4 linked regions of the Caenorhabditis elegans genome follow. The protein of the gene in region 1 interacts with the protein of each later gene in a pairwise test. Each region holds a gene or a part of one and is shown on either strand. Other genes may lie near its edges. The genes, in order: xbx-6, syx-18, Y71F9AL.25 and caap-1.

Region 1 (6,768 bases):
CACATTTTCAGTTTGCCATCACAGCAGCGTTCTGTGTAATTCCTATGGTATCAGAACCGTTTCAGGATTGGGTTAAGAACAACTTTTGGGTATATTTCATTGCGATGTGAGTTACAATAGAGTTTTGATTATCTTCGAATGATAATATAAATTTCAGAATTGTATTTTTGGTTGTTGCAATTGCGTTGTCTTGCTGTGGTAATTTGAGAAGGCAATTTCCAGTCAATATCATTCTTCTCACTATTTTCGTAAGTTTTTAAGTAAAAAGGTTTTTAAAAAGTGGTTTTTAGTAGGAAGAAAATAAAAACGTTACAAAACGTATTGTAAGGTTCTATCACATTCCAAAAACGCAATCATTATTTTAGAGAGTCCCGGGCCGCTTTAAATTCTATTTTCCTAATTTTAACCACTAAAATCACGTGGTGTCAGGCTGTCCCATAACGGCTTGATCTACAAAAATGCGGGAATTGTTTCCCAAAAATGTGACGTCAGCACGCTCTTAATGATGCGAAATCAGTTGAGAAGTCTGCGTTTAAATTCCCGCAATTCTTGTAGATCTACGTAGATCAAACCGACATGGGACACTCTGACACCTCGTGGACAATAGTTTTTTTTCTTTAAAATATATGTATAACCATGAACATTCTTGACAAGATAACTTCAATTTCTTTCTGGATATTTCAGAATTCTTAATGTGCTTTGAGATAGGGTAGGCTACGGTAGGATTGCTGGAAACATGTGTTAATTTTCGTAAAAGGAAATCTAAAATTATTGTATATTTCAGACTCTCTCGGCAGCAGTCATGACAATGTTTGTTACTGCTTGTTATAATGTTCAATCAGTTTTAATTTGTCTATGTATCACCACAGTATGCAGTGGATCAGTCATTATTTTCTCGATGAAAACGAAATCAGATTTGACGAGCAAAATGGGAATCGCTTTCATGCTTTCAATGGTTCTTTTCTCATTTGGAATCTTTGCACTCATCTTCACTTTGGCATTCAATTGGCAATTCCTTTATTCCGTTTATTCTGGACTTGCTGCTCTTTTAATGATGTTCTATTTGGCTATTGATGTACAACTTCTGATGGGTGGTCGTAAATATGAATTATCACCAGAAGATTACATTTTTGCTGCGATGGAAATCTTTTTGGACATTCTGAATATCTTCCTGATGCTTCTCAACATCTTTGGAAGAGGTCGTTAGATCTTTTCACATTTTTATATGTTTTATTGTTTGCTGTAAATACATGTTTTATTTCATTCAAAAATATATATTAAGTTTCATTTCACAAATAATTACGAGTTTAAGCGGGAAAGTAGCGAACGAGACATCTTAAACAACAGCAGTTTTCGTTTCTTTTTGTTAGAAATTTTTCGGGGTGAGGGACAGAGCAGGGGACAGGCAAAGAAGAACAAAGTGAACTACCAGTGTGTAAATTAGGCATGGAATCTAGTATAGAACAGAAAAAGAAGAAGGAATTGAAGAATCGAGAATCGATGAAGTCGGGTGAAGGCCGTTGTTTAGTCGCTGAAAAATACAATAATTAGGTTTACAAGTTGATAAAAAGCTTTTCACAACATAGAAACTGAAAATTGTTGCTTTTATCAACCAAATGATTCACATATTATCGAAAAAATACGATCGCACAAATTTCTCATAATTTATTTTTGATCTACCCTGTTGACTAGGCTCCTCCCCTTCCTTCGACAAGACAGCCACAACAAAATAACAGCGGCAACAAGATTGGGGGAGGAGCCTAGTCAACAGCGTAGATCAAAAAAAAATTATGAGAAATTTGTGCGATCGTATTTTTTCGATAATACACATTCATTTAAATTGGCACAATGTTACTAATACAGCGTTAGTGAACAATGACACAAAAAAATCTAAAAAGTAAACGTGCCTTTTGAAATACCACAAACTCAACCGCCTTACCACACGAAATGTGATAGAGAAATAGAAGATTCAGTTTCTGGAAATAACCAGAGGGTTTATTGAGAATGTCTAGCTAAATTTCAAAGTTTCCCAATGAATTTCTTACCTGGATCCGAACAAACTGAGAAGGAACCAGAACATCTGGACAATGTCAATGAAGATTTGAACAGAAGCAAAAATATATTCTTCTGGTGAGATTTCGTATTTCTTTCCTCCCATCAGCATTTGAACGTCGAGGAAGAGGTAGAGCATCATGATAAGAGCACCACCGAGAGCATATACCATCATCAAGAACTTGATCTTGAAGAACATTGAGCAGATCACGACAACAAGTCCGAAGAACATGAAGCACATTGAGATGATTAAGATATATCCCATGTGGCTGAAAATTTAGTATTTCGGATATATTTTTTGAAGATCAGTGGTTATAAATTATTCGTCATCATTCTAATTTCTGAACTAAGTTTAGTTTTTGCCAATTTTGCTATTTACAAAAATTAATCTGCGTACATCTTGTCAGAACATATTTAATATATTAAAAATTAGTTTCAAATTCGACTAAATAACCTAGGTACCTTAAATTTCAGAAAATTGGTGCTTGTTAGAGTATAAATCCGCTTATTGCAGGTTTAGCACAGCATTTGAAAAAAAGATTTGATTTAAAAAAAAACTTACGCAGTCAAATCGAATTTCGTCTGAGAGGCGACAATGACAATGGAGAACGTACATCCAATGCAGATCGCCAATGCCAGAAGAACCACGTTAGCATCATGATGAGCTGAAATGACCATGGTCATAACTGAAGTTGCTAGAGTCTGAAAACGATTTTTGGATTGATAAAGGGAAACTTGTTATATTAAAATGAACTTACGAAGATTCCAGTGACAATCAAATTAACTGGGAATTTACGACGAACTCCTTCACAGCAAACCAATGACAAGTAGGTAACGAAGAAGATTACACTGGAAATATTAAATATTAATCAAGATTTCAATTTATGTACATACTAGGACCCAAGGTAGAGAGCCGAATTTCTGCGGACCATTCTCATCGTATCATCATGAACCCACGGGATAACAGTGACTGCGGCAACGATGCAAAGCTAAAATTTTTTGAAAATAGATTTAAAACTTTTTGAAAGTACTACTTACCATGATAAAGACCAAACTGAAAACTTTTCGAACGAAAGCAGCGCGGACAGTCTTATCAGAAAATTGGAATGAATACTTTCCATCTGGATTGTCTCCACCACCGTGTTGCCCATTTTCCATCTGATTGAACATAGCTCCGTGCATTGGTGGCGGTGGTGAGAAATAGGCTCCACCTTAAGAATATTGAGGTTTTGAATCGTTTTAAAACAGTTAGTTGTGAAAATATAATTTAATACGTTTCAATGTAAAATTTTTGAAAAAAATCCACCTTGCGCATTAACAAATTTTGTCGATTTTTTTTCGGGTTTCCTTTGGTATTTCGATTAATGACGTCACATTACAAAAATACAATTAAAAAATGATCAAATTTATTGATCGAAGAGCTAGTTGCTAAAAGTTTCGATATCTTCTTTACTTATTTATTTTGGAAGTTAAAATATTCTTAATTTATGTCTAACTTCTGATATCGCTGACTTTTTTATTTTGTTTTTAAAAAATCTCTCACCTTGATTTTGATTTTGTCCGTCGCCTGTATTGAATCCTGGTGGCGGAGGGCCTTGATTGGGGTAGGGATTCTGATAAGCCGGGTTGTATGGCTGTTGATTGTACGACATATCTGGAATTAAATAATATTATTGAAACGAAAATACAAGAATAAAATGTAGTCAACAAGTGAGATAGAAGCAAAAAAGTATAGAATTTCATGGAAATGGCAATTTAAAAAGTCCCAGTTGTTTATCACATTACTCGAGTTTCCATGGAAACATGGTTCTCCAGCTCACGAGGGGAATTTCTCGTCTGTTTTCAGACAAATTCTAGTAGCTAGAGAAATGTGCGTCAGTTATAGGAAGAAATAAGATTATTTTAAGGCTTAGAGGGAAAGTCATATCTAGATTGAAGGATTAGAATGGTTGAGAAGATGAAAATAATTTGATTGTTTTCAGGAATGAAGAATTTGTCATATTTTAGTTTAAAAAGATGAGCTTCTACAGATTTAGTATTAAAATTGTGTGTTTTATACTGGTGCTCGGATTTTTAAGAAGACAAAATATTATAGAAAGATTTTCAGATGCAGTTACAAATAACTCAAACTCCGGTACTTTCTGGTGTTGCTAGAGCACGAATTTTTAGCGTTCGAGCAGAAAGAACGAATGTACTCATATTTGTCGATAGGAAAGTAAATACGCTCAACGTTCTTCGTTCGAAAACTGAGACGGGTATTATCTTTCTCATTCATGCCTAGACTTCAAATAAGTAGAAAAACCAAAATGCAGTGGAAGAAGAAGACGTGTGATTTCGCAACAGAATGGCACGTCTTCTTCACTTTCACGAGAATGCAGCATCGGGCAATTGTGATGAGATCTCGTTGAGAGAAGAGACGCAGTAAACTGACCAAGGCTTTGGATATCTGCGTCTCTATTGTTTGCAATGGTCGGGGTTTGCCTCGTCAAAAAAAAATCGATGTCGACCAGAAAACAAGAGTTTTAAGTAGTTCTCAATATAGAGCATCTATTCAAAAATGTAGGTTTTAGTTTGAACGGTGACTTTTTTGTATTGTCGGAACAAGAACGACGTGATAATCTATGAAAAACAGGAACAGAGAAAGCAATGAAACGTTGTCTCTCTTTTACTCGCCAGGTCAAACAAAAAATACAACGACCTCGGCCAAAGGAGAGAAACAAGAGAAACGCATGTGTTGATGCTCGAAGACCACTACTCTTTTGAAAAAGCAGTGAAGCTTAAAAGCAGTGTTTCACATCTAACACTGGAACATGAATCGAAAGAAAAACTATATCATAGAGATATAGAAATTTTTAAAGTGAGGGAACAGTTGTATAGAATGAAAAATGTTGAGTCACCGTTGAGAGATCAAGAAATCTCTGTAGAAAAACGGAAGAGATGAGGAGAAAGTGAAAACATCAAAAGTTTGAACAAAAAATTTCATCAACAATAGTGAGATGATCAATAAGTTAAATGCTAACAATCTCGAAACTTTTACATAATTTACTAAGTTTTTCTAAGCTTAAAAAAATTCCAGACGATAAAACAGATTACAAAATCCAAAATTTTATTAATTTTTTAAAAACTTTGTATGATTTTGATTCCCTACGGAAGACAATAGAAGGGAAATGAAGAGAGAAATCGAAAAAAGCGTGAAAATTCATCGCAGAATTTCTACAGTACACTTAAAGGCGCATGCGTCAAAAAATAGTTCGCGGGGCGACACCCAATCGCGCGCTATCGTGCGTCTCCCTTGAAAGCCGTACAGTAGGCTTGAAACTGGTTCAAATATATTAAAAGTAGTTTGTTTTTTCGTTTTCGGAAATAAAAAAGCTTTTGAAATCCCCTACCATTATCAAGCTTGATATAAAAACGATATTTGTTGGAATTCCCGTTCCAATACATTTCGCTGAAATTGAAATAAACTTTCATTTCAGTTCAGATAAAGTTTGAAAAAGAACACGTAAAAATATTACAAAGTTCTATTTTTTAGGTTATATATATAAAAATAACAACACGCGTGTGCCGTTCGGTTCGATTTTTAAAATATTTATAAACGATTATGGACCGTTTCATCGAACAAATTGGAAGTTTTTTAAATCTAATCTATTTCATATTTACGTAATCTAGGAAGATAAAGGAGAAAAAACAGGATTGGTTACTGTATGTTGTGACTTCTATCGTAACTAATAATAGGCTAAGTTTAATATTCACAAAGAAACTGTTTGCGTTTTTAATTCCAAACTTACCATTATTCTGTAACAGTGGGCCTTCGGCCTGATTAGGATGAAACTGTTCATTGCTCTGTTCTGAAAATAAAATAATATAAACATGTTTCTTATAAATTTATTCACCTGCTGGAGCACTAATACTTTTTTCAGCTGAAATCTGAAATTTCGTGGAATTACGACAAATGCCCTGAAATTTAAACAAAGATAAATGTGAGCAAGAGAGTCGAAAGAAGAAGAGAAAAAAAGCTTATTTGTTAATAGTCATTCGTCAGGCAAACATGAACAGTTCTTTTCGCTTTTTTTTTCAGCTTTTCAGTAAGTGAAGGTGCCCTATAACTTGTGAGATTTCTGTTTTATTCTGTTCTACTTAGTCATACGAGAAAATTCTGTTAAGATCATGGAGAGTTTCAAAATTCAGCGAGTTGCATCTTTGTAGTCAGTTGAATATAAGTTTCAATTGTATAGCCGTAGATATTAAACGTTTGGAACATCTGAAAATAGTTCAGAATGACATTTGGTTTTCTCACATTGCATTTTTTGAGCTTAATGTAGTCATTCCGAAAACAACTAGATCAGAATCATATTTTGGCAGTTAAGTTTTTGCATTTTTGGTTTTTAGCAGAGAGTCAATAAAAAAGTACTTAAATTCTATGGCTTGAACATTGAAAATTGCTTTTAAGAACATCGGCATTTCTTGAGTTAATTGTTTTCTTAACTTTATTCTTATATTGTATTCTAAACTTAAGTTAGCAGAATCCATACTTCAAACTCGGATCACGCCTGAACAGTTTTGGTAACTTGTGTTGATTTACAAAAAATCTAAACTTATATAGTTTGAATTCCACCAAGTACAAGTTTATGATGAAACCCAACACATGTGTTAACACATAAAATTTAAAAAAAAACCTTAATGGCCATTTTATCAATTTCGAATGAATTGATTGAT
Region 2 (5,874 bases), 3.1 Mb from region 1:
CTCCAGAATGTACCATGACCTCCAGGAGTTTTGTGAATTTTGCGCCAATCCGGTCTCGGCACGATAAATGTTTGTTAAATGTGAAAAAAGTGTGTGCCTTTAAAACTACTGTAATTTCCAAAATTTGGTGCAGCGGAATTTTTATCAATTTTCATAGTTTTTTCTAACGATTTGTTAAAGTTTATGAGTTTTTATTTTTTTGTTCTCATCGAAAAAGTCTGCAAAAATTGAGCAGCGATACTATTTTGAAATTACATTTAACAAAATTAACAAAAAAACTTCGCGTCGAGACCAGGTACCGTACTTTTAGCGCAAAAATGCCAAACTTTCGCGTCTGTGTAATACACCAAACGGCTTGTACATTTGAAATCACTCTTTGGCTTTTCTAAAATTACTGTATAGCATTTCAAATTCAGGCCAGAGATATGGATCACAATGGCTTGGTGACGACAAAAGAAATACGAGAATATTATGAAAGTCATCCGAATAAAATGAGCAAAGAAGGCATTGAATTTATCGATAGAAACTTTCACAGTGGAGGGGCTGTTGATGTGGATGGTGAGATTTTTAACTTTTTTCGATCAGTTTTGTGTCTTAGCACGAGCGAAAGTTTATGAATGGCATGTGTCTTGAAACAGATACGGTATTTTAATTTGGATTTCATTGAAAAAACAAATTCAACGTTTATAGCGAAATCCTACAGGACACGAAACGAATTTAGTGAAAATTCATAAGAACTAAATTTAACGTACCGTATCCCTTTTAAGACTGCTTCAACACCCATAATGTTGAAAAACCATAGTGATAAATTATATATTTCTAGAAAATGGGCAATCTTAAATTTAAAATTTAAAAAAAACTCAATTGTACAACTAAACATCAAAATTTTTTTTCAATTTCCAGGATACCGCAAGCTGATAAAGAACTGGTTAACTGAAAAAGGAAGTGTCGAGAAAATTCTCGTGGGTGTTTTCGGTAATAAAACAAAACCTGCTTCAACAAATAACGTTGGACGTGCGACAACAGTGTCTACATGAATGCACTAAATTTATTGACTTTCTTTGATTATGAAACAAGACCAGACTGAACATGTTGTAGACCACAGAATAAATGTAATAAATACGAATTATCTCCAAAAAATTATTAGGGGTTATACCAGTCAATGAAGAGAAGTGCGAACGAAAGTACAACAATTGAAAATAGAAGGAATGCTCGCTGTTTTCCAGAGTTTGTGATAGCTTTTCGAATCCATTCATTTCCGTCGGTAATGTTTTCGGTTGTATGTAAAGCATGATCGTGTATTAATTCAACATCACGGTCTTGTTCCAAAACCTGAAATAAATTGGTTTTGAAAATTTTGAAAATAAATTTGCGAATACCTTTTCTGAAAACACCGTGTGTAAAGATGCGATCTCCGTTAAATGCTGCTGAAGCTTGAGAATCTCGTCATCCTGATCCTCCTTTACAAACTCTTTCTTTCGAAGCTCAGCTTGTTGTTGGAATTCCACGGCAAACTGCTCTCCTTGCTCATCTCGCCACTTCTCATAACTTTCACGTTCCGCATCGTATCCACCACCAACATCACGACGCCTATTGCGAACTTCTTCTTTAAAAATAATCGGAGACGCACGATTTTGTACTGGTTTGTCTTGTGGAACAATCAGAACATCAAGTTCGTCAATCCCATCCCAACCAGCGTCTTCTCCATCTAGCAGATCTTCTTTTTGAATTTTTACATTTGATTTTTCTTCAACTAAATAATAATCGCTGTTCACTTCTTCCGGAATGTACTGCATACATGGGTGCTTTGCTTGAATCTCTCGAAGTTTGTGAGTAAGCTTGTCTGAAATTTTTAAAATTTATATTTACAAGAAAAACAATTTTCACCACTAAATTCAAGCTCTGAGCCATGAACAAGTTCTTCAAGACCACGGTGATATTTGTAAACGTGACCAGCCTCTTGTGCTATTTTCATTAGATTCTGTGACTTGCTCTTCGCGTGGAGTCGCTGTAGATGCTCCTTTCTAAAAATTAAGATATTTACTTATTTTCAGAGGGAAATTTGAAATTTTGCATACTTTAAAAGTGAAACCATTGCGATAATTTGTTTCAAATAAACAGTCAATCCTTCCTGAACACGTGAAAGGTGACTTCTTTCAGTCGCATTTCGAAGCCCATCACTGCTATTCACACGATGTCCGAGCTGCACGTTGATTGAATGGAACTGAGTAAGTTTCTGAATATCGAATGTAAAATGATAGATATCTTAAAAATTCAGGCGAACATCTTTCACATCTTCATCAAAGCTCTCTCGTTCCATCGGGCTCATTTTAGAATAGGCACGACTGGCGAAAATGTAGTCCTGTGAGTGATCTGCGAGCATTTTACGGAAGAGATACATTTCAGCGCCAAACGAAAGAGCCACGTTCGAAATGTTGGTGAATGCTGGAGATGGACGATTTTCATCACGACGGTAGTCTCCTGAAATTTGAAATTATTCATTTTTGGAATGTTTTTAGAACTATAAAAATTAGAATTAAATCATCAAAATAATTTCGCTTCAAAGTTTTATGGCAAAAACGAGTTTATCTGAAAAGTTTGTTAAAGGATATTCCATAAAAAATCTTAAATGGTATTTTTGCAGAATTTTTTTTCTGATTTGTTGATGTGTCAAAAAACTTGAAGTATCCGATATTTAACGTTTTTTATTAAATATTCTATCCAAATTCTTCCTCACCCGGTGGCTTATTGTGCCGTCTAATGTGCTTTTGCTCGATTGATGTGGCAAGTTCTTTGAACTGTTGTGATCGATCGATAAATGGAGGTTGAAATATCGTCATTCTGAAAAGACCAGGCCCACTAAATTTAAACAACAATTGTTTTTTTTTCAAGTATCTAAATCTGAATATCTACACAACAATCATTCAATCCATTCAAAAATTTTGACAGTTTTGAGTTTTCAACACCATTTTATTCGCATCTAATGGGTAAATTTCCGGGGGGAATGAGAAGGCATGTTGTTAGTCTGAGAATAGGAAAATTCTAGAAAAACATACACACACGAGCTCGACGGAATCCGCGGATAAGCTCATGTGGATGTGGGATCACGCAGCTTATCGCGCCGCCTAAATAAATTAATTTCAGAAATGGATGATTTGCGATCAACCAGAAAAAGAATATTAAGAAAATTGACAGATTGGATGGGGATGTGGGGGGAAACGTATAATTCAACTATAGTACAATGAAGAGAAGAAGTTCAAAATAAGAATAGAATACTCAGCTTCTATGTTTTAGAAAATGAAAACAGATGAAAATGGGCAAAATGTGAAGGGAAGAAGTTTGGGGGAAAGAAATTACAGCGTTTCGGGGGATTTTTTTATCCGGGACAAAGGTCGTGTACTTATTTTCCTCCAGCCCATAAAACGATGATGATAATAAGAATGACGACGATAGCGCACATGATGATCATCATTTTGATGTTCTTCCACCAATACTTGCGCTTCAGGGTGGCCGCAGATTTCTCAAATTGTGAAGCACCTTCCTGGAGAGCGTCAGCTCGGTCGTCCAGTTGAGACAACTTCTGATCACGCTCCAAAACTTTTTCCACGTTCACCTGAAAACTATTTTTCGTGATTTTATTGCAAAAAGGGGAATTAAGATTAATTTAACACGCTTATAAATTGTAAATGGGATCATTTCAAAAATTGCGATTTTTGTTATTTTAATTGCACATTTCAAAATCTTACCTTCATGATTCCGACGACTTCATCAACCTGAGCTTGTGTCTGCTGGAGACGTTTGTTGGATGGTCGTGGTCCGCCCTGACTTCCTCCCTGTGCGCCGGCATCTCCTTGAGCGTCCATGTCGTCAAGATGGTCTTATCCGGCTGTTCCCTGAAATGAAGCGAGTTAGAAAAATTTAAAAATTCGTATCGGAATTCAGAACTGGAAAGTGAGGTAAAGGAAGAAAACGACAGGGGGGACGGCGACGCCCATTTATGCATGAAAAATTGAGCACGACAAGCGACACGATGACGGACTAAAGTGCCCTCTCAAAAACGAGAACGACTAGAAAATTTAGCTATTTTTGTATAACGGGATTACGAATATTTAACGAAATTATAAAATCGCGATGTTCTGAAATTAGGAAAATAGTAAGGAACGATGAGAACAGGGAAAAGGATGAAAAAATAAGAAATGGGGTCAGATGACGAAGCGATGAATGGAAATTCAATGAGAGATGTTGCGAAATCTGTGCAAACACCGATAAAACATTTTGCGTACTGGGCATTATGACCTACGCGCATCTCTATTTCGGGATAATCGATAATCGGTCATGACCGTCATCCATTCACTTTCAATCATCGATTAATAAATAAATTGAAATGATAAATAGAAAAAAAATGACGGGACGGTTTTCAAAAAACTGGTTTTCACTGCTGTTGTATGATTACGTTTTTACCAAGAGGCAGTCAAAAAATAAAAAAAAAAGCGAGTGGAGGTTATAACTTGTATTAAATAGAAGACAACACATACAGTGGGACGCATTCCAGACAAATAACGAAGCCACTTTTTATTGCTTTGCAGCCAGAATTGTGGGAGGCGAAACTAATAATGGGAGACGAAGAATAAGGCGAAGAAAGGAGAATGTCCCATGCACACGCTCCAGTTCTCTTTCGTTTTTTTTTCTTATTTTCTCTAGCCGCATGATTTTGCTCGATTTCACACAAATGGAGCTAAATTCTTTTGCAGACAAAACGAAACGAGAGAACTGAATACAAGGAAGTTTTCAGCAGGTTACGTGCAACGGGTGGACTACGAATTTGAAGCCCGAGGCATATCTTCGAGAGATGAGAGGAAGTTTCAAAATGAATAAAAATTCAACTTGAATTTTCCTAGAAAGGGAGAAAAAATGAAATACTTGAACACACGTCATGGTTGCTGAGATACCCGAACTGAACAATAAATTTGTCAAAAAAATGTGGCAGCGATTCATCATTCTGTGTTGTTGGAGAATGCAAGAATAACTATGGGCAACAATGTCGGAAAAACCAAGATAAAGTTACGAAATTCAGAAAAAAAAACAATATTAAAAAAGTGCTGACTCAGTCCATCATATCAGCTGACAACAAAAAAGACACAGACAGAAAACAGAACAGGGAAGATTGGGGGATGGCTAGATAGGAAATTGAATGTCTGTTGTATTGTGTACAGACAAAAACACAATTAGGGAGGTAGTATTTACCGAGAATAGTTTTGAAAAAAATAAGTAAACGAAGCGATTATACTAAACTCAAACACAGGAATACAGGTTTATTGGGATTAGGGCTGTACAACCGGACGTCCGGTCGTCCGAACCGGACGCACATGCGTCCGGTTGGGGGTAGCTATCCACGACGGCCGACAATTTCCGAGTTTCGCGACTCACTATAAAATTGCTGATTAAGTATAGTGAGTGGCGAAACTCGGAAATTGTCGGCCGCCGTGGAAACCTACCCCAAAACCGGACGCAGTGCGTCCGGTGGTGTCAAAATCAGACGGCCGGACGCTGATTTGTACAGCCCTAATTGGGATAATTGCGCGTAGAACCTAACGGATTCTACATATAGTTGATTTGGTATCTTACAATCGAGAGTAATTCCGAAAAATTTTCAAAAACTAATTTGAACAAAATTCAAAAACGTTATAGTGTTTCATGTTTGCGTATCGCTAAATTTCGAAACCCGTACCATGCCGAGAACCTAAGTACAGTAGTTCTCCTTTCAAATACGGTACTTTCGTGGTGAGATATCGGGTGGAAGTCTGAGGGTCTGATATATCAGTTACACTTATGCGGCTAGCTTGACATCACTAAATTAATATTTAACAGTCTAAT
Region 3 (4,406 bases), on another chromosome or scaffold:
GATATATATGATATCTACGGTCGATAATGATCGATAATGTTGCCTGTGTGCCATCTGTCGTCTCTGCTAGCAATTGCGTAACCCGCAAGAAAAACGCCAAAAATAATGTATAACGTATTTATAATAGGAATATTTGCTATATGGTATATATGATGTATATGATATATATGGTATAAATGGTATATGGTATATATGATATATGGTATACATGGTCTATGGTAGATACGGTATATATGATATAAATTGTATATATGATATATATATGGGATATGGTATACATGTTATATACAGTGCATTTTTTTCCACTTCTACGACTTCAAAGGGAAGCGCTTTCATGCGGTATGGTCTTGACGCGTCTTTAGTCATCATTTTTAGCAGTTTCTGTGTAAATTTCGTATAGATCACAAAATATTTATATCTTATTTTGTATTTCTGTAGCTTTTTTACTCTGATCTACAAATTAATTTTGATCTACGTGTGATCTATACGAATTTTACACAGAATCTGCTAAAAATGATGACTAAAACCGCGTCGAGATCAGGGGTGTGCGGCGAATTTGCCGAGCACGGCAAATTTCAAAAAAATAGATTTGCCGCACACCCCTGGTCGAGACCATTTCGCATAAAAGCGCCTCCCTTTAAAGTCGTAGAAGTGGAAAAAAATGCACTGTATGATAGATATGGTACATAGTATATATGATATATGTGGGAGGATATGGTACATGTGGTATATGGTATGTATGATATATATGAATATATGGTAGATTTGGTATATATGGTATATATGGTATATGGTATTTATGATAGATATGGTATATGGTATATGGCATATATATATATTTATATAACGGGACCATGAGATCATCAGAATGCTTACTTTTCTGGCGGCAAATTTCTCGAAGCGAAGGGACCTGCGTCTCTCTTCGCCATATGCTCTCTCGCTGCCGCGGCCTGCCAATATTTTTGCGCCAGTAAATAGGCATTCTCATGATCTCATGGTCCCGTAATATATGTATATATATATATATATATATATATATTAAATACATATGAATATGGAATATGCCAAAAAATAATATATTTATTAATTTATATAAATATATGATTAAAAGCCAAGTTTTATTCAAATCACTTCAGCTGAAGCTTCAGTTATTCCGATTTTTGTCGAAGCAAACACAAACTCGCGCATCATACAAACGATAGTATCTACAAATGAGTGGAAAAAGAATGATGAAGGATAGGAAGAAAAATGATGGCCAGAGAATATACACTTCAAAAAACCTAACGCTGGATCCCATATTTTCATCGGAATTTCTCCGGGTCCTCCTAAGAAATTGCTTGTCTCTCCTGACCTTCTCCGCTATTTCATTCCAATCGTCGGTCCAAAATGAGCCTTCACGATTTGGATCCAACTCTTTATTCGCACGAAAAACTCCTCTCGCCCTTTCAATGTAATCCACTGCGGCTTCCATCTCGAGATATCTTTGTAGTTGAACATTGTCGTCTGTGAATTCGCCGTCCAAGTCGTCGAATCGAGATCTTGGGTCTTCGGAGATGTCAGTTGGCGGAGAGCAAGAATCGGTGTAGAGCGGCTTGCCCATTGTGGCGTCGGCTAGCTGAATGAGGGAAGAGGGCATGGTGTACACGAAGACGTCGATCGATTGTGTTATTGGTGCCACGCCTATAGAACCGTGCCGCAAAATTGCAGATTTTGAACCATCCGCAGGGTTTCAAAAAGCGAGGGAATAAGGAACATGGTGCATCGACTGGGATCGACGGTTGTCTTCGATTTTACAGAGATGTTGTCAAATGACAAAAAGTGTGTTACGTGTTCTTCTACAATTTTGTAGTTGACAATTCACTCGTATCTGCAAAATTCGTGTCGAGACCCATAGTGGTGCGTAACAATGTTATCGATATTACTACGTATTTTTGTGGTTTGGAGCTAAATAATTGCATTTTCGCAACCCTTTCGCCAATTTTTTTCGTGAAAAAACGTGTAATTTTACGAAAAATTGCGCGCATGGGTTGCGAAAACGCATTAACCGCACGGTTTTCGGTGGCACAGAACACAGTAAAACCCATTTATTGATTGAAAATTTTATTCAGTCATATCAATGCAATCAGAAAGCTCTTGAAAAGCGTCCTATCGCATCGGGAAGCACATTACACACAATATCGGTACTATTCGAACGATGATCGTACACAAATGCGGTAATATCAAGAGGAAAAATGTCAGTAAAAGGTGGCATATAATAATGAAATTGATGAATGTGCTCTCATCTTTGAATCTCGGAATAACGGGAAACCACCATACTTCCTTATCGTCGATATTACTGTCCGTGTCCTCTTCGTCGTCGCCATCATCCTCGTCGCCATCCTCATCGTCCCAATTCAAATGTCTATCAGGATTCCTTCGGTGTCTTCTCAAGAATCGCTCGTCTCTTTTGAGAACGACAGCTATTTCATTCCATTCTTCCGTCCAAAATGTGCTCGTACCAGTTGGATCCACTTCCAGATTCGCCTGATAAACGCCCATCGCATTCTCAATAGTCTCCTCGGCGGCTTGCATCTCCAAATAGTCTTCCACCTGAACATTGTCTGCATTGAAATCATCGTCGAATTGGAATAGAGATCTCGGGTCCTCGAAGATCTCAGTTGGTGCGGCGGAGCAAGAATCGATGTAGAGTGACTTGACCATTGTAGAACACCTGAATGAGGTGACTGGTGGTGTGCAATGTGCTCACGCGAATATGTGCATCGATTGCTATATTATGACGTCATAGAAGGAGACAATGAGCTCTCATTAAAACCATTTATTGATTGATTAATAATATTAATAATATACAACGATAAATCATAAAACAAATATTTAAATCTAACAATTCTCCTTCCGTCGCTGCTCATCCAACTCCTTCTCAGCTTCAATCACCTCCTGTTGGATCCTCGCTCGCTCCTTCATCTCGGTCACAAATTGCCACAGTTGAGATTCTAAAGCCACATTTTGAACTGATAGATCGGCATCCTTCTCGCTATCAGTGAAATGGTTACTAGAACTCGAATCCTCGTTAGATTGGCACATGTTTCTGTGTATTTAGACACAATGACGTCATGTCGGAGAGATTGGTTTTGTCTTGAGAGACGCAGAGATTGGCAATTAGGTCATGATGGTTGGTGTGTGACGTAATTGGTGGAGTTGGGAAGCTGGGGAAATTGAGATTTTTAGAATCTGAGGTTTAGGCGGCCTATGCCTGCATGAATGCTCCGGTAATACGCCGATTTGCCGGAAATTTTCAATTCCGGCAATTTGCCGATTTGTCGAATATTTTCAATTCCGGCAGTTTCACGATTTGCCGGAAATTTTCAGTTCCGGCAATTTGCCGATTTGCCGGAAATGTTCAATTCTGGTAATTTGTCGATTTGCCGGAAATTTTCATTTTCGGCAAATTGCCGATTTGCCAGAAGTTTTCAAATTCCGTCAATTTGCCGATTTGCCGGAAATTTTCAATTCCGGAAGTATTCCGATTCGCAGAAAATTTTGATTTTCGGCAAATTGCCGATTTGCAGGAAATTCTCAATTCCTGCAATTTTGCGATTTGCCGGAAATTTTTAATTCCGACATTTTGCCGATTTGCCGGAAATGTTTAATTCCGACATTTTTGCCGATTTGCGGAAATTTCAATTCCGACATTTTGCCAATTTGCCGGAAATTTCAATTCCGGCAATTTGCCGATGTACCGGAAATTTCAATTCCGGCAGTTTGTCGATTTGCAGGAAACTTTGGTGTTCGTCAAATCGGAATTTGCCGGAATTTTTTAAGCTTCGGCAAATCGGTAAATCGCCGGAAATTTTCAATCCCGGCGATTTGCCGACTTGCCAGAATTTTTCAATTCAGGCAGATTGCCGATTTGCCGGAAATTATCAATTCCAGCAATTTGCCGATTTGCTGGAAATGTCCAACTCCGGCAGTTTGTCGATTTGCCGGAACAAATGGCCATTTTGTAGAATTGCCGAAAATAATTATGCTTTGAGTTTTAGAAAAATTGACAAATTCGAGACTCCTGAGACTTCTAGCAATTTTCAAAATTTGCAGGTGATCGATTCTGGAGACGGAGTAACCCATTGTATTCCAGTTGCCGATGGCTATGTAATCGGTTCCTGTATCAAACACATTCCAATTGCCGGCCGTGACATCACCTATTTCATTCAAAGTCTGCTCCGTGATCGTGAGCACACAATTCCAGCCGAGCAGAGCTATGAGGTGGCGAAGATGATTAAGGAAAAGTTCTGCTACGTGTGCCCGGATGTTATGAAGGAATTTGTAAAGTATGATACGGACGCGGCAAAGTGGCTTCGAACCTACGATGGAATTAATTCGATTACAAAAAAACCGTTTAACGTCGACGT
Region 4 (4,763 bases), on another chromosome or scaffold:
AGACTGAAGGAGGGCGAATAGACAACAAAGAACGGCGCTAAATAAAATTTTAGTCATTCAAAGATTTGTACAATTTAGATAAATCAGTTGTTTTTTAGTTTTTTATTGTGCAACAGGGATTTGTTTTAGAGATAAGCCACGTCATTGGGGTTCTTGTTATCGGAGTGAAAGATCTGGCTGGAAATTTGAACAAATTCCACAAAATCGTAGTTTCACTGGCTTCAACAAGGTTTTGTTGATTTCAAACGACACTATTACTTTAAATAAAATTTTGAAAAAAATTCCAGGAGACCGAGGAGACCAAAACTGCAACTTAAAAATTTTCAAAGGACAATTGAGTGTGTTTTTTTCCAAATTTACTATAGTTTGAAATGTTATATTTGTGTAGTTTGTAGTATGTGTAGCTTGTGGGCAATCACGTCACACCTAACAACTATCATGTGATTACTATAGTGGTACGGTAGTAATGTGATTCCGGCAGTACCCAGACAGTATTCCTACCAAAGTGTTAGGAGTTTAAACTTCAAGAATTTAATAGAGTCAATCGTCAAAAAAGATAACAAACATAGCTTTCCTATTTTTCAAGATTTCGAGAATTGATTGGATTTACAGATAATGCTGGAAAAAGTGGAAAAAAAACTAAAAAGGAGGATATATGTCAAAACAAAACGTCAATATAATCACCATGGGAAATCGAGAAGAAAGATTTGATAAAAATGGGTGAATAACATAAAGAAGAGCCCATGCTCTCTCTTATTAGGAATAAGAATATTCGGTATTAGTCATTTTGTGGCGAACAATAGAATCTAATAATACATAAGGAATACCTTTTTGTATTGGATTATGACAGGAATTTGTTTCCGATAAAGAATCACTTGGTCTCTCTGAGTCTATTATTTTTCATCTAAAAAAAGGTTTCACATTTTTCCTTATAAAGTACACGAGCTGCGTAAATCGACACATGGCTGTGACTCAGAATTTCGAAAAAAGAAGACAGTATCTAAGTTTATGGTGGTTCTGGAAAACTAAGCAAAACAATACACACCTCGAGCAATCTATTTAATTTGTTTTCCATGCGAGACCTTGTTGAGTCACCCTATATAGTTCTTCTATACGTAACTAATTATTCACACCTCTCGTGCGCTTGAATAATTGATTGTTAAATGGATGGGAAGGGACAACTACTTTTTTCTCAGTTTTCCAGAAGGCTGTCGACGTTTTATCTATATTTTGGGTTCCATATTTTTGATTATGATTGATAACGGATAAAAATAAAGAAAATTGGGTCGAAAACACATTTATTTGGAAACAGGAACTTCTGAAAATAAGCATCGAAAAAACATTTTCTGCGTAAAATCCAATGTAAATTTGAGTCCTGGCAAGAGCAGCTACCGTGCCAAAACTTTTGTGGCTTATTACCAATTTTTTTTTGCAATCTGCCAAAACTTTTTGGCATATTACCAAACACGATTCATTAATCCCCATGAACCCGAATAAACTCGAAACAAAAATGTTCCAATCAAAAATAGTTCAAAGTCTAGACTTGAACTTTCCGCCGTGACTAACCTGGTTTTCAAACAGAAATTGCAACAAAAAACCCCGTGACTTTGGATACCAGGAACATTCATTTCCTGTTATTCATAGATGAATGCATATTTTGAAATTAAAAAAAAAAAACTAAAAGTTTGAAATTTTGGTTTCGAACTCATTTTGAGGGAGATTGCCTAGACTTTAGTGAAAAATGCTCCAAAAAATGGCGCCACGGGTCCCATCATGAATATGCTGCTCCTAATTGAATTATAGATGATGGCGATGAGAGAGAGATATAAGAAATTGTGTATTCGTCAGAAGAGATGTAAATGTTACAGGATAATACAGAAAAAAAATTTAGAGAAAATCTTCAAGATCCTCTTCCAGCAGCCGATCAATCTCCTCATCAGTGTCCAGTTGCTCGGCTTCTCCCTTTTCTGGTGACTTTGGGGATCCTGGATCAGGCGGTGTTGACGTCGTGTTTCCCTGATCATCTCTAATTTCACCGTCCTCTCTTCCATCATCTGAAGCTTCAGAAGCTTCTGCAGCTTCTACAGCCTGCTCCTCCATTTTGGCTTCAGGCTCAGGGATCTCTGGGCTTTCAGATTTTTCCGATTCTCCAGCGGAGCCAATCACTTGCTCCTCCTCATCCTCAGAGCTCGACGATTCTTCCAGTGTCTCTCCAGCCAACACTGCATCCAACCTCTTTTTAGACATTCCGTCAATCTCTGCTAACAGCAGCTGCTTTACGTCTTCCTTCGATTTTCCCTGAAAATTATTGATTTTTTAAAAATTCAATTTTCCAGCTAAAGTCTCAAAGTACCCGTAGAATTCGTGGCATCAGCACCTCGACAGCTTCCCACTCGACAGCATTCATCGTGTGCTCGGCGAGCAAATCCGTGTGATCTACGAAATGCGAGAGTGAGGCGAGAAGTGGATCCACTTGGTCGGCAGTGTTCGGCATTTTTCTGTAAATTATAGTTTGGAAAATTATAGTTTTGTCTGCCAAAAGTACGGTACCCGGTCTCGACGCGATAATGTTTAAATAAATACGAAAAAGGTGTGCGCCTTTAAAGAGTACTGTAACTTCAAACTTCGCTGCTGCGGAATTAATTCAATTTTTCAAAGATTTTCTCACGATTTTCAAAAAATTTTAATTAAAAATACGTTTTTGTTTTTAAAAACTATGAAAAATCGACAGTACTCGTTAAAGGCGCATATATTTTTAAGCTGAAGAAAAATTTGTCGCGTCGAGACCGTTCACCATAGTTTTTGCACAAAAATGATGGCGATATTAAAAAATTAACCGAAAATAAAAACGGAATCCAATTCAATTCTTCTCAATACATTTTCTAATCAATTAATATTTTATTTCACAACTAGAGAGAGCATCTGAAAAAAATGTTGCAGATTTCAAAAACTAGAGGAACAAGGGAAAGATGAGAAAAATTGAACCCATAAAAAAACGAAAAAACGGTGGAAAAATCGGTAATACCTAATAATAATTATGATATTTGATAAAAGAAATTTCAAGAAAATTCTAAAACAAAAATGAGTAGAATATGCAGAAACGAACATGATACTCGTGTGGAAATTTAGAAAAATGATACAGATTATGAATGTTTTTTAGGTGTTTCGGAGGAAGCTGTCCACTTGGAAATCGTCATATTGACTCTCGTCCCACATACTTGCCAAATCGACTTCTTCGGGAGCTCCGGTGGATCTGAAATTATGGTATTTTAAAGAAAAGTCATATATGGTAAAAACCAACTTTTTACTCTTCTTCGCTGCCGGCTCACCACCGCCAGGCTTCTTCTTGGCTTCATCTCCATCCAACGTGAACATATTCATCAATTCTCCCGTCTCCATTGTCATCATTGATGTATTATCGGCACCGATCAAAGCCTGGGCCGTATTCAGCTTGAACTTTGCCAGGCTCATCACCTTCTCCTCGACTGTTCCCTGTGTGATGAGCCGATATACGTTGACATTTCGAGTTTGGCCGAGACGATGAGCACGATCGATGGCTTGAAGATCCTTCATCGGGTTCCAGTCGTGGTCCAGGAAGATTACGGTATCCGCTCCGGTTAGGTTCAGACCAACTCCACCGACCTGAACAAAAATTTTCGGGGTCTTACTGAACTTTTTGAATTTTTATATTTCGGTTTTTAAATTTAATTTTTTGCGAGAAAAAAAAACGAAATTCAATTTCAAAAAATCTGTCTTTTTAATGACTAAATTTTATTATTTTTTATTGGAAAAGAAAAAAAATTGGGTTTCACTGAAATTTTTGCACTTTTTTTTAATTTGTCAGAAATTTACAAAAAAAAAACATTTGTTCGTTTTAACAAAAAATTTGGGCAAAGAAAAACTTTTAAGTTTATTTAATTTCTGAAAACCTGCGAGAATTTTGGAGAATTTTGAATCTTTTTTTGAATTGTATTTTTTTTTGTTAAAAAAATTGTAGAAAATTCGAAAAACTTGAAAGATTGTTTTTTCTAAATATTTTTCGTATTTGCAAAATTTTCTAACAAAATAATTTTAAAAAATCTAAAAGTCATTTTTCCAGCAAAAAAATGACTCGGAGATTTTTAAAAAATTATTTTATCTTGAAATTTCACCTTTTTTTGACAAATTTTTAGCGAAATTCCTTTTTTTTTACTTTTTAAAAGTTGATATTTTATTAAATAAATTTTTTGAAGCTTTTTTTTGAAAACTTGAAAAACTTGAAATTTTAATTGTTTAAAAACTGATTTTAGTATTGTGTATCTAAAAAATAATTTTTTCCAGAAAAAATTGCTTTGAGATTTTTTTTTTTGGAAAAACAAATTTTTGAGAAAAAAACGAATTTTCTATTTTTTTTAAATTTTTTAAAATTTGATATTTTATTAAATACATTTTTTATAATCTAGAAAATTTGAAAAACTTGAAATTTTCAAGTTTTAAAGTTTTTTTTTCAATTTTTTAAAGTTGATATTTTGTTGATGAAACACTGAACGATTTTTTTTTGAAAATATCACTTTTTTCGTAATTTTTCTTTGGAAAATTTTCAGCAAAATCCGTTTTGAATTGAATTTTATGTGAAAAATTTCATTTTAAAAGTTGAAATTTTAATAACTAAAATGTAACTAGTTTTTTTCAATTTTTCAAAAAAAATTTTTGAAAAAACGTGACTCCAAAATTGAGATTTTCCGTCCGTGAAACCGCGTTGTTTTTTGTCAATTTTTTCTCCG

The links.
Region 2: the proteins of xbx-6 (region 1) and syx-18 interact in a two-hybrid assay, tested with the Caenorhabditis elegans proteins (one large-scale study listed by BioGRID).
Region 3: the proteins of xbx-6 (region 1) and Y71F9AL.25 interact in a two-hybrid assay, tested with the Caenorhabditis elegans proteins (one large-scale study listed by BioGRID).
Region 4: the proteins of xbx-6 (region 1) and caap-1 interact in a two-hybrid assay, tested with the Caenorhabditis elegans proteins (one large-scale study listed by BioGRID).

The regions. Positions count from the first base shown.
Region 1 is NC_003283.11:9,702,296-9,709,063, reverse strand, and holds xbx-6 (Protein lifeguard 1-like), read right to left. Parts: upstream 3,709-6,768; 5' UTR 3,705-3,708; coding exon 3,596-3,704; intron 3,264-3,595; coding exon 3,091-3,263; intron 3,042-3,090; coding exon 2,947-3,041; intron 2,902-2,946; coding exon 2,811-2,901; intron 2,755-2,810; coding exon 2,615-2,754; intron 2,322-2,614; coding exon 2,046-2,321; exon of another isoform or gene 1,977-2,045; coding exon 1,970-1,976; 3' UTR 1,940-1,969; exon of another isoform or gene 1,724-1,939; intron 1,532-1,723; coding exon of another isoform or gene 1,525-1,531; 3' UTR 1,237-1,524; downstream 1-1,236. Other genes in the region: tag-120 (Transmembrane BAX inhibitor motif-containing protein 4), read left to right, coding at 12-106, 158-248, 785-1,207.
Region 2 is NC_003283.11:6,652,609-6,658,482, forward strand, and holds syx-18 (t-SNARE coiled-coil homology domain-containing protein), read right to left. Parts: upstream 2,842-5,874; 5' UTR 2,841-2,841; coding exon 2,738-2,840; intron 2,482-2,737; coding exon 2,285-2,481; intron 2,237-2,284; coding exon 2,079-2,236; intron 2,025-2,078; coding exon 1,888-2,024; intron 1,844-1,887; coding exon 1,380-1,843; intron 1,333-1,379; coding exon 1,144-1,332; 3' UTR 1,038-1,143; downstream 1-1,037. Other genes in the region: T10H9.8 (EF-hand domain-containing protein), read left to right, coding at 417-558, 904-1,037; snb-1 (Synaptobrevin-1), read right to left, coding at 3,401-3,613, 3,747-3,863.
Region 3 is NC_003279.8:2,886,094-2,890,499, reverse strand, and holds Y71F9AL.25 (Clathrin light chain), read right to left. Parts: upstream 1,601-4,406; coding exon 1,145-1,600; downstream 1-1,144. Other genes in the region: Y71F9AL.6 (Protein PBN1), read right to left, coding at 1-54; Y71F9AL.7 (Ovule protein), read right to left, coding at 2,146-2,700; arx-1 (Actin-related protein 3), read left to right, coding at 4,093-4,406.
Region 4 is NC_003280.10:13,213,827-13,218,589, reverse strand, and holds caap-1 (Cactin_mid domain-containing protein), read right to left. Parts: upstream 2,499-4,763; 5' UTR 2,495-2,498; coding exon 2,354-2,494; intron 2,299-2,353; coding exon 1,888-2,298; 3' UTR 1,826-1,887; downstream 1-1,825. Other genes in the region: btf-1 (BTAF (TBP-associated factor) homolog), read right to left, coding at 3,157-3,253, 3,302-3,642.